Linked DNA regions of Macaca mulatta. The protein of the gene in region 1 interacts with the protein of each later gene in a pairwise test. Links are inferred from orthologs where the notes say so. Each region holds a gene or a part of one and is shown in the gene's direction. Other genes may lie near its edges.

Region 1 (6,081 bases):
GTGCATCTCACCCCCTGCCCCAAGCCCCTGGATTGTAGAATTGAAAATGCAAGCATCATTCCTCTTCCTTCCCCACCCCAGGTGCTCATCTGCCGGAACTACCGTGGCGACGTGGACATGTCGGAGGTGGAGCACTTCATGCCCATCCTGATGGAGAAGGAGGAGGAGGGGATGCTGTCACCCATCCTGGCCCACGGAGGGGTCCGTTTCATGTGGATCAAACACAACAACCTGTATCGTATCCCTTTACTGGGGCGGCTCCCAGGAGACTCCTGTGTGGGTGTTGGTGTGTGTGCACGTCCACACGCCTTCAGCCGGGACTGGTTTTTGCACAGCGGGAGCATTGGATACAGCCAAGCCCTCCCGGAGCTCCCTGCTGCCTGCAGAGACAGGCAGAGAATGCACGATGACACGCGTGATGGGTGTGGGGAGAGGAGCAGGTGTGACTTGAACTTCTTTGGCCCAGGGGCCCAGGAAGGGAAGTGACACCCTGGAGGAAGCCTGCAGGGAGGCCTGGCGTCTGCCAGCTGGAGGGGCAGGCAGGCACTAGGCGTGGGTGAAGGCTCTGCAAGGGAAAGGCTCATTCCAGCAGCTGCAATCAGGGTGGCTGGAGCCCTCGAGAGGGGGCGTGTGGCAGCAGTGAGGCCGGAGTGGTCAGCGGGGTCTGGGGTCTCAAAGAACATCATCTGAAATGTGACAGGAAGTCTTTGGAGGCTTTTAGATGTGCATCTTCTGGAGGTTTCTGGCTGCTGAGTGGGGCAAGACTGTGGGGACAGGAGAGGACATGGGTAGGTGAGGAGTAGGCTGGGGCCATCGTGCAGGTGGGAGGGAAGTGGCCTGGACCACGGAGGGGTGGTAGGGTACAGAGAAGGGGAGAGACTTCTCACAGCCCCACCCAGATCTCAGAGTCCCCCACCCTTCCTGTCCTTGGGCCCATGGGGAGACTTGGCCAAGCCAGTTTCTATCCAGGAGGTCTAACTGGCCACCCCACGGCTTTGGGCAGACCTGCAGGCCCATCTCAGTACCCACACTACTGCGGAAGGGCCTGCTTTGCAGCCACAGCCTGGTTTGAGCCCCAGCTCCAGCAGCCATGGGGCTGGAGGCGAATCCCTCACCTTCCCACAGTTTGGTGGGAACAACGACCCCTCGCTGCAGGACCATTCGGGTCAGTTGAGCTGACTTGTGCACATTGCTCCCAGCAGCATGGGCTCTCTGCCCTTTCCTGTGTTCTTGGAGACACTTGGGGCCTTGCCAGTAGTACAGTGTGGCCAATGGGCCAGAACATCCCCTGGGAGCCCTTTGGAAATGCAGAATCCCGGGCTCCACCCAGCCCTGCCCTGTCAGAATCTGCATTGTAGGAAGATCTGTTCCTGGTGACTCGTGTGCACATTCCCATGTGGGCCGTGCTGGTCCACGGCTCCCTGTGGTGCGCCTCTGTGTGTATTTCACCTGGTTCTGGAAGGCCCTGAGAATAGCTCTGAAGATGATCTTAGGTGGCTTTTAACCCAGGGAGCTGACAGTCCTCTGAAGCCGCCCAGGTATTGACAGGAGGGTGAGGTGGCTGTGGTCCGAGCTCAGCAGGAGCCGTCAGATCAGTTTCTGGTTGGGCCCCCACATTTCACACCTGGGCTCACCCCTCTGGCTGAGTGGACATCCTTTCACCCCCAGCCGGGACAGTTCTCAGCAAGGCCGTGGCTGAATGGCACCCATGAAGCTGAGAGGCACCCCTGCCCCTGCTTATAAAGCATCTGGGGAGGGCACATTGCCAGGCAGCAGGAGGGAGGCCAGCGCTCGTTTGACTGGGCCAGCGTCCCTTTCCTGGGGCCCTGTGCTGTGCTGGGGTGAGGCGGGAAGAGAGGATGCAGCCCCCGCCCTCCCTCCTAGAGCTCACCTCTGGGCAGACAAGCCAGGCGGCACAGACATGCTGTGAACAGGGATGTCCGGGGTGCAGTGCGTGGGCCTACAGAGGAAGAACCAGCCTTCTCTGGGGGCCCATTAGGGAAAAAGGAACAGGAAGCGCCCAGCACACACTGACCCTGGGCGGCAGGGGCTGGCTCCCGTGGCAGAAGGGAGCATCTGTGCCAGACATCTCACGTACATTGCCTTGGTGAGTTCATTCACAGGCCCCCATTACACAGGAGAGAAATATTGAGGTTTCTCTAGAAAGGTTTATTTCATGGGCCAAGGCTTGTGTTACCAAAGACAGGAAGGGCTGAAGCCAGAATTGGCCCTGGCTACTTGCCGCAGAGTCTGGCCAGGGGACCCTGGACCTCATCAGGGTCATGACGAGGTGTCGGCTTTGGAGGAGCAGGGCCAGTGTGTCCTGCTTTCTGCTCCTCGAATGAGCCTCACTCCCTCCCTGCTCAGGGCAACTCCTCACCCAGCCACTGGGACAGGTGCCCTGTGCCACCTGCCATCCCTGTGATTCTCTATGTCGGTGAGTGCTCCCTGGGGCCTGGGAGCATGTCCTTCTGGTGACTCCTGTGTCCCAGGTGTAGCTTGGACCAGGAGCTTGGTAGCCGACCATGGGCCAGGTAAACGGCTGGGAGTGGGGGTAGGGAAGGCTCTGAGGGTTGTGAGGGTTAGAGGGTCCCTCCATGAACCGGGATCTTCCAGGCAGCAGCCCCAGCCTCTGAATGCTCCTTAACTGTGACCACCGTGCAGTGGTTGCCACATCCAAGAAGAATGCGTGCGTGTCGCTGGTCTTCTCCTTCCTCTATAAGGTGGTGCAGGTGAGTCTCGCTCAGCGGGGCTGTGGGCTTGAGTGGCAGCTGTCTTGGCTCTGCTTGTGGATCTCCCCATACCCGGCCACCTTAGAGACAGCCGTGGCCTCCCTAGAGAGTGCTGGGGCTGGAACCCCAGGAAGTGGCAAAGGGGAGCCCCAAACCCCGCCACCATGCCTGTGGAATTCTGTAGCTCGTGTTGCTCCCTGACCCCGGGGAAGAAAGGAAAGTGAACAGGAAAAGGTGGGGCTGAGCAGTGGTGCCCTGACCCTGGAAGGGACAAGCAAGTCCCCCAGCCAGCTTTGGAAGGATATGGGGTGACCAGCTGATGGGGCTGGAATAACCAGCAGAGCTGCAGAGCTGAGCCAGCTTAGAATGTCCCAGGGGGCTCTCAAGGCACAGATGCCCGAGGCCCACCTTGGAGAGAGCTGACACGCCAGGCCCAGGCTGCCAGTGAGATGCAGACAGCAGCCAGGGCAAAGGTCCTGGGACAGGTGTGTGTGTGGTGCGGCCAGGGAGGCCGGCATGCCTTTGGCAGAGTATAAAGCTGAGGTCAGCTGGGAAGAGGGCAGGTTATACAGGAGTGTGGATTTTGTTCCACTTCTGATGAAAGGTGGTGGAGGGCTTTAAGCAGGAGACTGACGAGACATGGTTTGATCTAAAGCAGCCTCTCTGGCTGCTGAGCAGAAGGAGGACTTGAAGGCAGCCTGGAAGCCAGTGAGGAGGCTGCTGCTGGCTTCCTGGAGAGGATGAGCCTGGCCGGGGCGGGCTCTGGGGCTCAAGAAAGTGGGGAATAGGACCCAGGAGGCCTGTGCTGGGCCTGGGAAAGCTTTCATCCCTCACTGATGCCGCCTGTGCAGAATGTTGGGGAACAGGGGCAAGCCTGGGCGGTGAGGGCTTGGGGAAGGAGCTGAGGGTCATCTGGGAAGGCCCCGCGTGCAGGCCAAGGGCTGCTTCACTGGACCCGTGGTGCTGTCACAGGCAGGGCTGGGCCTGGCTATGACACCTGTGATTTCCAAGCAGGGGCCGGGCGATCACAGTCCTAAAGCGCATGGGGTCAGCAGATCAGAGGATGGGGGATGAGGGAAGGGGAAGGTCCTCACCCAAGGGTTGGGCAGTTCCTTTCTGCTTTAGTGACGCCCCTTCCTTCAGCATTCGTGCCTGCAAAAGTGCTTCTAACAGCCCCTCTTCTTTGGCGTCCCTTCCTTAACCTTCTGAGCTTTCCATTGAAATGGGGAAGATGGTAGCTCATCAGGTCCTCGCCTGAGTCACTCCAGACTCAGGAAGGGATGACAGTTACAGTTGCTCAGGAGGGGCTCCCTGCCTGGGGGTGTCTGGGCAGGGAAGAGAACGGGGACATCTGTAGCAGCTCCAGACTGGTCCCACCCCACAGCCAACCACTGCTGTCCTCCTGCCCCATTACCTGGGTCCAGGGCCTGTAGCACGCCACTGAGCCTGGGAAGTGGGCTGTTGGTAGGACTTAGTGGGCAAATGAATGTGTGCAAGCGTTCATTCATTCCTCATCTGTCTGCTCAACGATCTGCCTCTCGTCCCTCCCTCCCTCCCTCCCTCACCGCCACAGGTGTTTTCCGAGTACTTCAAGGAGCTGGAGGAGGAGAGCATCCGGGACAACTTTGTCATCATCTACGAGCTGCTGGATGAGCTCATGGACTTCGGCTACCCCCAGACCACCGACAGCAAGATCCTGCAGGAGTGAGTGGGCAAGGGTGGGGCCTGGGGCAAGGCCTGGGCAGTGTCATGATATTGATGTCATCAGGTGTGGAAACAGAAGGGGCAAATTTGTGTTTGTGTTGTCCCCCACCTGCCTTCCACCTCCAGCCGTATTCGGGTTTTTACTAAGTTGCTTAGTGGTTTTAATTCGTTTCCTCCTCTACACCCCCACATAACAGTGCTTTTCCTGCTCCTCATCTTTACTCTCCATCCGCACAGATGCCCTCAGTCCCTTGCTACTAAGGTAGCTCCTTTGTTTTTACTGTCATAAAATGAGACTTGATCGAAATCTCCCCTCTTTGGAATCCTGCCCTTCAGATAGTAAGCAACGTGAATTAAGTGCTTCCTGGGGGCCAGGCCCCAGCACTTCACATTCACTCGATTCATAGCCTCCCCATTTACCGTCTCCCCGTTTTACAGGGGGTCAAGCAAACAGACTCCCCGAGAAGCCTGTGTTCCTAACCACTGCACCTGCTGCTCCCTCAGCGGGATGGGGTCACCAGGTTACGCTCCGAGGTGGCAGTTCCATCCGCATGCTCAGCGGGGACGGGAAGCAGCTCCACCCAGTTCTTATTTTCCTCCCCAACATGGTCTTCTTGGCCCCCCCAAATGAGCACTTTAGACTCTATAACTTGAGTGTATTGGGTTTTAGAAATTGTGAAGATCTTCCTGAATGAAGCAGCCCCACGTGAAACCACAGGCTGCCTTTTCTGGAGCTGCTGAAATCCAGGGGCTGTTTTCAAGGTGGCCAGAACCTGCCCTGCACCCGCCCTGACCCTGCCGAAATATCAGGGCCAGAAGCTGTGGCGTTGGTGCAGGTGCCACCTGCTTCACTCTGAGCATGTGGCCCCACAGGTACATCACTCAGGAAGGCCACAAGCTGGAAACAGGGGCCCCGCGGCCCCCAGCCACCGTCACCAACGCGGTGTCCTGGCGGTCCGAAGGCATCAAGTATCGGAAGAACGAGGTGTTCCTGGACGTCATCGAGTCTGTCAACCTCTTGGTAGGCCTCCTTTCTTTCCTTCTTCTGTAGGGTTTTATCTCCTCCACGACAGAAATAAACACAGCATTTTTAAACTGGCAAAGCCCCAAGAGCCATTCTGTGTGGTAACAGATAGCAGGATTCCGTTTGGGCCACTCATTGAAATGTGAGTTTGTCTTATCTTTTTTTTGAGACCGAGTCTCATTCTGTTGCCCAGGCTGGAGTGCAGTGGTGCAGTCTCGGCTCACTGCAACCTCCGCCTCCCAGGTTCAGGCGATTCTCCTGCCTCAGCCTCCTGAGTAGCCGGGATTACAGGCGCCCACCACCATGCTCAGCTAAAGCTTGTTTTATCTTTATTAGCATTTATGCTGACTGAGAATCCATACATGCACATTATTTTTAAAAATTAGAAGCAGGATATGAGGTTAGAAAGTGAAGGACTCTTATCAGTCACCATGTACAGAAAAAAGAAAAAAAAAAGAAACCAAAGGGCTCCTATAATCAGAAAGATTAGGATTTATTCACCGCCAGCCTCTCGGGCCTCATTCTGTAGATAGACAGAAACAAGTATGTTGGTTTTTCTATAAACCTGAGATCATAAGATGTGGTTCTCCTGTAACTTATTTTTTTGTTGTCGTTTGGGTT
Region 2 (6,181 bases), on another chromosome or scaffold:
TTACAAAACTGGGCACTGACCGAAAATGCCAATTTTTCCAAAAAGTGAGCAATTCCACTAAGATATTTTGCTTCATATCTTGATCCTGAATTAATAAGAACTAGTAGGAAAAAGAAAATTGACAGGTTAAATCAGATATTCAAAATAAAATTTAATCAAGAGAAACATTTTAAAATTTCAATATGACATGATAATCAGATTTAACTATATGAGAGTGATTGTGCTGATGGTTTCACAGGTATATATGTAGGTCAACATTCATGAAATTGTATACTTTGCTTCCACTCAGGGTACAATTCGTAATTGGCATGCTAACTACAACTAACAGTCAACTAAAGCACGTGCATGTTAAAAATGCGGGACCACCCACAGCACCACAACAGTACTTACTTCCTACTGTACAAAACTGTCCAAACTTATTCTGAGATGCTACGTGAAGCCCATTATCCAATGTGGTTACTTTGGTTTCAAACTTTTCCTGTCCATCAACTGAAGCAAAAACAGGCTTGGGTACTCCAGGTAAAGGAGAAGAGAGGGGGATGTTGGGATAGGCACCACCACTACTAAACCGTCTGTACGCAGAAGGTCCAAACCTAAAACAGAGAAAGCGGCCCAGTTGCAACAGGCTTGAGACAACGAACCTGTGATGACCTCTTAAGTGCAGTTAGTTATGTTTTGTCTGGGTTAAAAGTAAGTATCTGCCTTTCTAAAGTACTTATTTCTATAGACTTTGGAAGACAAAGCAAAGGCTGACCACAAAGGCTCAGCCACAGGACCTGGAGCAAGCTGGTTCCATCCTTTGGGTCTTCGTGCTATTTCTGTAAAACAGGGCTTATTAACAGTAACCCACTCGAAATGCAGTTTGTACACATAAAGCACTTAACGGCTCTGCCCTCCAACAGTATCACTGAAGTCTTAGAAGCCATACCCCTTATTAACCTGGTCCGAAGGTGGGGTGTGACTTGGTCTCTATCTCCCTCTCCAAACTCATCTCTTGAACCCCCACAGCCCCATAGGTCCTGGTCACACTGATTATTCTGTCAATTCCTGGAACACATTTGATTCATTCCAAAGCTTCTTCACCCCCAAAGCTTCTTTGCCCTTTGCCCATGCCTACCCCTTCTTTCATTCTTCAGCTCTTCCCTTAAATGTCACCCTGATGGAGAACTATCCCTCATCACTCTAGTCTTTCCTGTTATTTCCTATCACGAAAGGCTGCTTGTTTACTCCAAAGCATTTACGCGATTGCCGATATTTTGTTCACGCTCCAGTCTGTATCCATCTCCTGGAGGCAGCACCTCCGCACCCCTGAAACAGCGCTCGTTGTGTGGGGAGGGGCGATGCCTGTGCTGTCGGAACAAAGTTCCAGCGTGGGGAAAGGCAGGCCCGGTCACTTGGGCGGGAGGGGCGGTGGGGACGGAAAGGGTTCTTAAACGTCAGAGATCAACGGACGCTCGAGCGCATCAACCGAGAGCCTGGACCCTCGTGTCAGAACCCTGCGGGTCTAACAGAGCTGGGGCCCCACCGGCTCAGCCTCCTGAGGGAGCACGCGGCAAAAGCACAGGGGCAGCGATGAAGCATGGCCTCGGACAAGGCCCGTCGACCCGGGAGGTGAAGGGGGGGAGAGGACCCAGCAGCCGGGGAGAGAGACAGATAGGACTGCATCCCCGGGCTTGAGGCGCAAGGCAAGGCAGGGCCCCCGTCGCCTCGGGGACCACACCAGTGTCCCGAAGTGCGAGCCCGTCGAACGGGCGCCATGTCGCCTGTAGAAACCAAAGACGGAGCGTCCAGAAAGACTCAAGCCGCCCCGGTCCCAGGCTGAAGCCTGGTTCGCCTTTGGCTCACCTCAGCCGCGAGCCGCTCCAACAACCCGACCCCCGCAGCAACCGCGTCGCCACGAGCACCACAGCCGCCATCTTGCGTCTCCGCCCCTGCTTCTGTCGTCACTTCCGCTTCCGCCCGCGGATTCCCCGCCCCCTTGGGCGACAACCCGAGGCGTTCCGGCGCGCGCTTCCGGTGCTCGGAGCGGAAGCAGCGGCGAGAGGCTCGGAGGAGCGGGGACGGCCAAGCGGCAGGCGACGGGGGCGGGCGACACGGACCGCGGCCCGGGCGGAGCCGGGGCCATGGAGCCGCCGCTGCCGGGCTAGGCAGGTCCTGCCCCGCCTGGCCCGCGGCGATGTCGGGCTACCCGCGCCGCCCGGGCGCCACCCCGCTGTCCCGAGTCCGGAGCCTCGCCATTCCCGACGGTGAGCGGGGCAGGGGCCGAGTCCAGCGGTTCAGGTGGGCGGCGGCCGCCCCGGCGCGCAGTAAAGTCGCTGTTGTCGTTGCTTCCAGCTCCAGCGTTCTATGAGCGCCGGTCTTGTCTCCCCCAGCTAGACTGTGAGCGCCCCCATGGCAGGGACCTGGACTCCCCCTTCTTCGGCATTCGGCCGGCCTTTATGTGCTATGTGCCCAGCCCGGTGCTGGCTTCCGTGGGAGACACAGGTGAGAGACGAGGGCGCCGGCCCCGGGGACGCCTCCAGTTCCCGCGCCACCTGTGGCACCTCCGCTGCCGCAAGAGCTCGTCCATTGACCCAACAATGAGCACCGCGCTCACTGCGTGCCAGGCACTCGGAATTCAAAGGCGGAGTCCCCTGCTAGGAGCTCACAGTCTGGTTGTGGGGAGACCTCCCCCCAGACAGTTCCAGTTCAGGATGGGTAGTGCCCAGGGAGCACAGGAGCCGGCCCGCTTTCCTCGTGGGGCTGAAGTGGGGGGGCCTTCACCCCAGTGGGCGGTGATTGGAAACGGAGCTGGAGCATTCCATCTGCCTCCACAGCCGGGCAGCGGCCAGATCTGGTTCATCCTCGTTCTACCCGAGCAGAAGTGCTGCTGGGTGCCCGGGGTGTGCGGGAGTGTTTGTGTGGCGCTGCCAGGGTCTGAGGACATTCGGGGGGTGTCACAAGACAAGAGGACACGCTCGCTCCGACTGGGCTTCAAAACCTACTGAGGAACCCCTTTCAGACCACAGATACCAGGGCCAGTCTGTGTGAGTCAGGCCATCTCCAGGGTCACAAGTCCGGGAGCTCGTGTTTTTTAAAGTTCTCTTGGCCCACCGGGCGCGGTGGCTCACGCCTGGAATCCCAGCACTTTGGGAGGCCGAGGCAGGTGGATCACGAGGTCAGGAGATTGAGACCATCCTGGCTAACATGGTGAAACCCTGTCTCTACTAAAAGATACAAAAAATTAGCCGGGCGTGGTGGTGGGCACCTGTATGTCCAGCTACTGGGGAGGCTGAGGCAGGAGAATGTCGTGAACCTGGGAGGCGGAGCTTGCAGTGAGCTGAGATTGCGCCACTGCACTCCAGCCTGGGCAACAGAGTGAGACTCCGTCTCAAAAAAAAAAAAAAAAAAGGTTCTCTAGAGGTTCTCTAGGCTGTGAGAACCACTGCAGTGGAGACTCCATGTGCAACAAAACCAAAACACAAATGTGAGGTCATAAAGACTTCCTGCCGTCATGGTGGGTGACATTGTTTCTTTGCAGATTTTGGCTATGAAAAGGGGAAATATTCTAAGCAGAGCCCGTCAGGAGCCCACGAGACACATTTTGGAGGTAGAGTAGTTCAGTCACCTTTTCTTCTTGTCTCCATCCAACACAGTGCCAGGCACGTGTCTGGTGGCAGGACTGTCGATATGACGGGCTACATGGTGTATCTGGAGCCCAAAAGAGCAGGTGGGGGTGGGATTTCAAGGGTTCAGTCTTGACCCTAGAGTAGGAGCGAGGTGCAAGGGCAGAAGAACCTGGGTGAGGGAACGTCAGGGAGTGGGGAAGTCCCACCTCAGGGGCTGGGGCCACAGGAGCCGGCATTACATGGGGCTCGCAGCTGGGAGGGCCAAGCGTGGCTGCTTAAGTCCCCGGAGGGTGGGAAAGCGGTGAGAGGGAGAAGAGAAAGGTGGGCGTTAGCTAGGTTACCTAAGTAGGAAAGTCGGGAAGAGGGTCAAAGAGCGCCGGATCCCCAGTTTTGCAGCACCTGAGGAACTTGTCGTTGCTGCTGCTGTTTGTTTTTTTGAGACGGAGTCTCACTCTGTCGCCCAGGCTGCGATCTCAGCTCACGGCAAGCTCCGCCTCCCGGGTTCTTGCCATTCTCCTGCCTCAGCCTCCTGAGTAGCTGGGACTACAGGGGCCCGCCACCAGGCCCGGCTAATTTTTTGTATTTTTAGTAGAGATGGGTTATCACCGTGTTAGCCGGGATGGTCTCAATCTCCTGACTTCGTGATCCGCCCGCCTCGGCCTCCCACAGTGCTGGGAGTACAGGAGTGAGCCACCGTGCCCGATCACCTGAGGAGCTTTGAGAGCTCCCAGCACAGGTTGACTTCACACCAGGGAACTGGGTGTGTGCAGTGGAGTGGCCTGGGTCGTTTTAAAGCTCCCCAGGGGAGTTTTAGTGGGCAGCACAGTGTGGGAGCAGGGGCCGAGGGGTGGAAGGAGAAGATTTCAAATGCAGACGCACGTCCGTGTCACTGCCCACTTTCAGCCACCTTCACGCTTTTTTTTGAGAGGGAGTCTCGCTCAGTTGCCCAGGCGGGAGTGCAGTGGTGCGATCTTGGCTCACTGCAAGCTCCGCCTCCCGGGTTCACACCATTCTCCTGCCTCAGCCTCCGGAGTAGCTGGGACTACAGGCGCCCGCCGCCACACCCGGCTAATTTTTTGCATTTTTAGTAGAGACGGGGTTTCACCGTGTTAGCCAGGATGGTCTCGATCTCCTGACCTCATGATTCACCTGCCTCGGCCTCCCAAAGTGCTGGGATTACAGGCGTGAGCCACCGTGCCCGGCCTCCTTCACGCTTCTTAGTGCCACCTGAGTCATGGTAGAATGACGAGCGTGGCTACCCGATCTCACATGTGGCCATGCTCCGGAAAGACAGGTGAACAGGAAGGTTCCCTTTCAGCGCTCTTCAGTAGACTTTATGCATCTGTGACGTCTGTTATTTCAGATGACAAATTTGAAGATCTCGAAGAGGCAAATCCATTCTCCTTTAAAGAGTTTCTGAAGACCAAGAACCTCGGCCTGTCAAAAGAGGACCCGGCCAGCAGGATTTATGCAAAGGTAAATCCACGGCATTGTGGGTGATGGCTCCGCGGGACGTTTCTGTTCTGGCCTCTGCGGCTTCCTTTGGAGGAGATTGTGCACGAGTGTGGCAGGGCAGGACAGGCATCAGTGCTGGGGAGCAGCTCTGGGCCCAGAAGCTGCTGGGCTCCTTCCAGTAGATGAGATTGGGCCTTTCTTCGTGTTCCGAGGCAGAACAGAGAGAAAGGAAGATGCACTCTGAGTCAGAAGCATGGCCTCCACTGTTTTTTGTCTTTTTTTTTTTTTCAGGAAGCCTCGAGGCATTCACTGGGACTTGACCACAACTCCCCACCCTCCCAAACCGGGGGGTATGGCCTGGAGTATCAGCAGCCATTTTTTGAGGACCCGACAGGGGCCGGTGACCTCCTGGATGAGGAGGAGGATGAGGACACTGGATGGAGTGGGGCCTACCTGCCGTCCGCCATCGAGCAGACTCACCCCGAGCGGGTCCGTGCCGGCACATCGCCCTGCAGCACATACCTTTCCTTTTTCTCCACCCCGTCGGAGCTGGCAGGGCCTGAGTCTCTGCCCCCATGGGCATTGAGTGACACTGATTCTCGCGTGTCTCCGGCCTCTCCGGCAGGGAGTCCTAGCGCAGACTTTGCGGCTCATGGAGAGTCTCTGGGAGACAGGCACCTGCGGACGCTGCAGATAAGTTACGAAGCAGTAAGTGAGCCTTGCGACGCCCTCTGGCACAGCACCTGTCCGAGCAGCCTCTCCCAGGGAGAACCTAGAGCTACCCTGCCTCCTGGGTGGCCTGGTTTGATTTCCAGGACGAGACGACTTGCGTAACAGCCTGCTATCCACTTTCCCTTTGACTTTGCCTCTGGTTACACGTGTGAATAGAACCGGCTAAAGAGGACTGGTGAGCTAGAAGCTGTGAATTGGATGCAGTTGGGCACTTAAAGGGCTGTACCCTCAGGAAAGGCTGGCTGCAGTCGTCAGCTCAGGGACATCTTGCTAAGTAGTCTAAGAGGAGGAAAATTTTTTACAAAATTATAATCACCTAAAAGGTTGTAAGATGTGAGTAAAAAAAAATTTTTTTTAGCCGGGCGCAGTGGCTCACGCCTGTAATC

The links. The genes of interacting proteins can lie anywhere in the genome.
Region 2: the proteins of AP1M1 (region 1) and ENTR1 interact in binary tests that used the Homo sapiens proteins (3 or more experiments, as listed by UniProt). The two-hybrid records come from large-scale screens. The link is inferred for Macaca mulatta from reciprocal best matches to the Homo sapiens genes AP1M1 and ENTR1.

Annotation. Positions count from the first base shown.
Region 1 is NC_133424.1:16,684,849-16,690,929, forward strand, and holds part of AP1M1 (AP-1 complex subunit mu-1), read left to right. Parts: intron 1-53; coding exon of another isoform or gene 54-81; coding exon 82-238; intron 239-1,925; exon of another isoform or gene 1,926-2,437; intron 2,438-2,616; exon of another isoform or gene 2,617-2,636; coding exon of another isoform or gene 2,637-2,664; coding exon 2,665-2,732; intron 2,733-4,305; coding exon 4,306-4,436; intron 4,437-5,309; coding exon 5,310-5,457; intron 5,458-6,081. UniProt on the Homo sapiens protein: Subunit of clathrin-associated adaptor protein complex 1 that plays a role in protein sorting in the trans-Golgi network (TGN) and endosomes.
Region 2 is NC_133420.1:6,091,545-6,097,725, forward strand, and holds the start of ENTR1 (endosome-associated-trafficking regulator 1), read left to right. Parts: upstream 1-2,015; 5' UTR 2,016-2,176; coding exon 2,177-2,246; intron 2,247-2,334; coding exon 2,335-2,484; intron 2,485-3,520; coding exon 3,521-3,589; intron 3,590-4,971; coding exon 4,972-5,084; intron 5,085-5,354; coding exon 5,355-5,771; intron 5,772-6,181. Other genes in the region: PMPCA (mitochondrial-processing peptidase subunit alpha), read right to left, coding at 21-100, 391-593, 1,846-1,916. UniProt on the Homo sapiens protein: Endosome-associated protein that plays a role in membrane receptor sorting, cytokinesis and ciliogenesis. Involved in the endosome-to-plasma membrane trafficking and recycling of SNX27-retromer-dependent cargo proteins, such as GLUT1.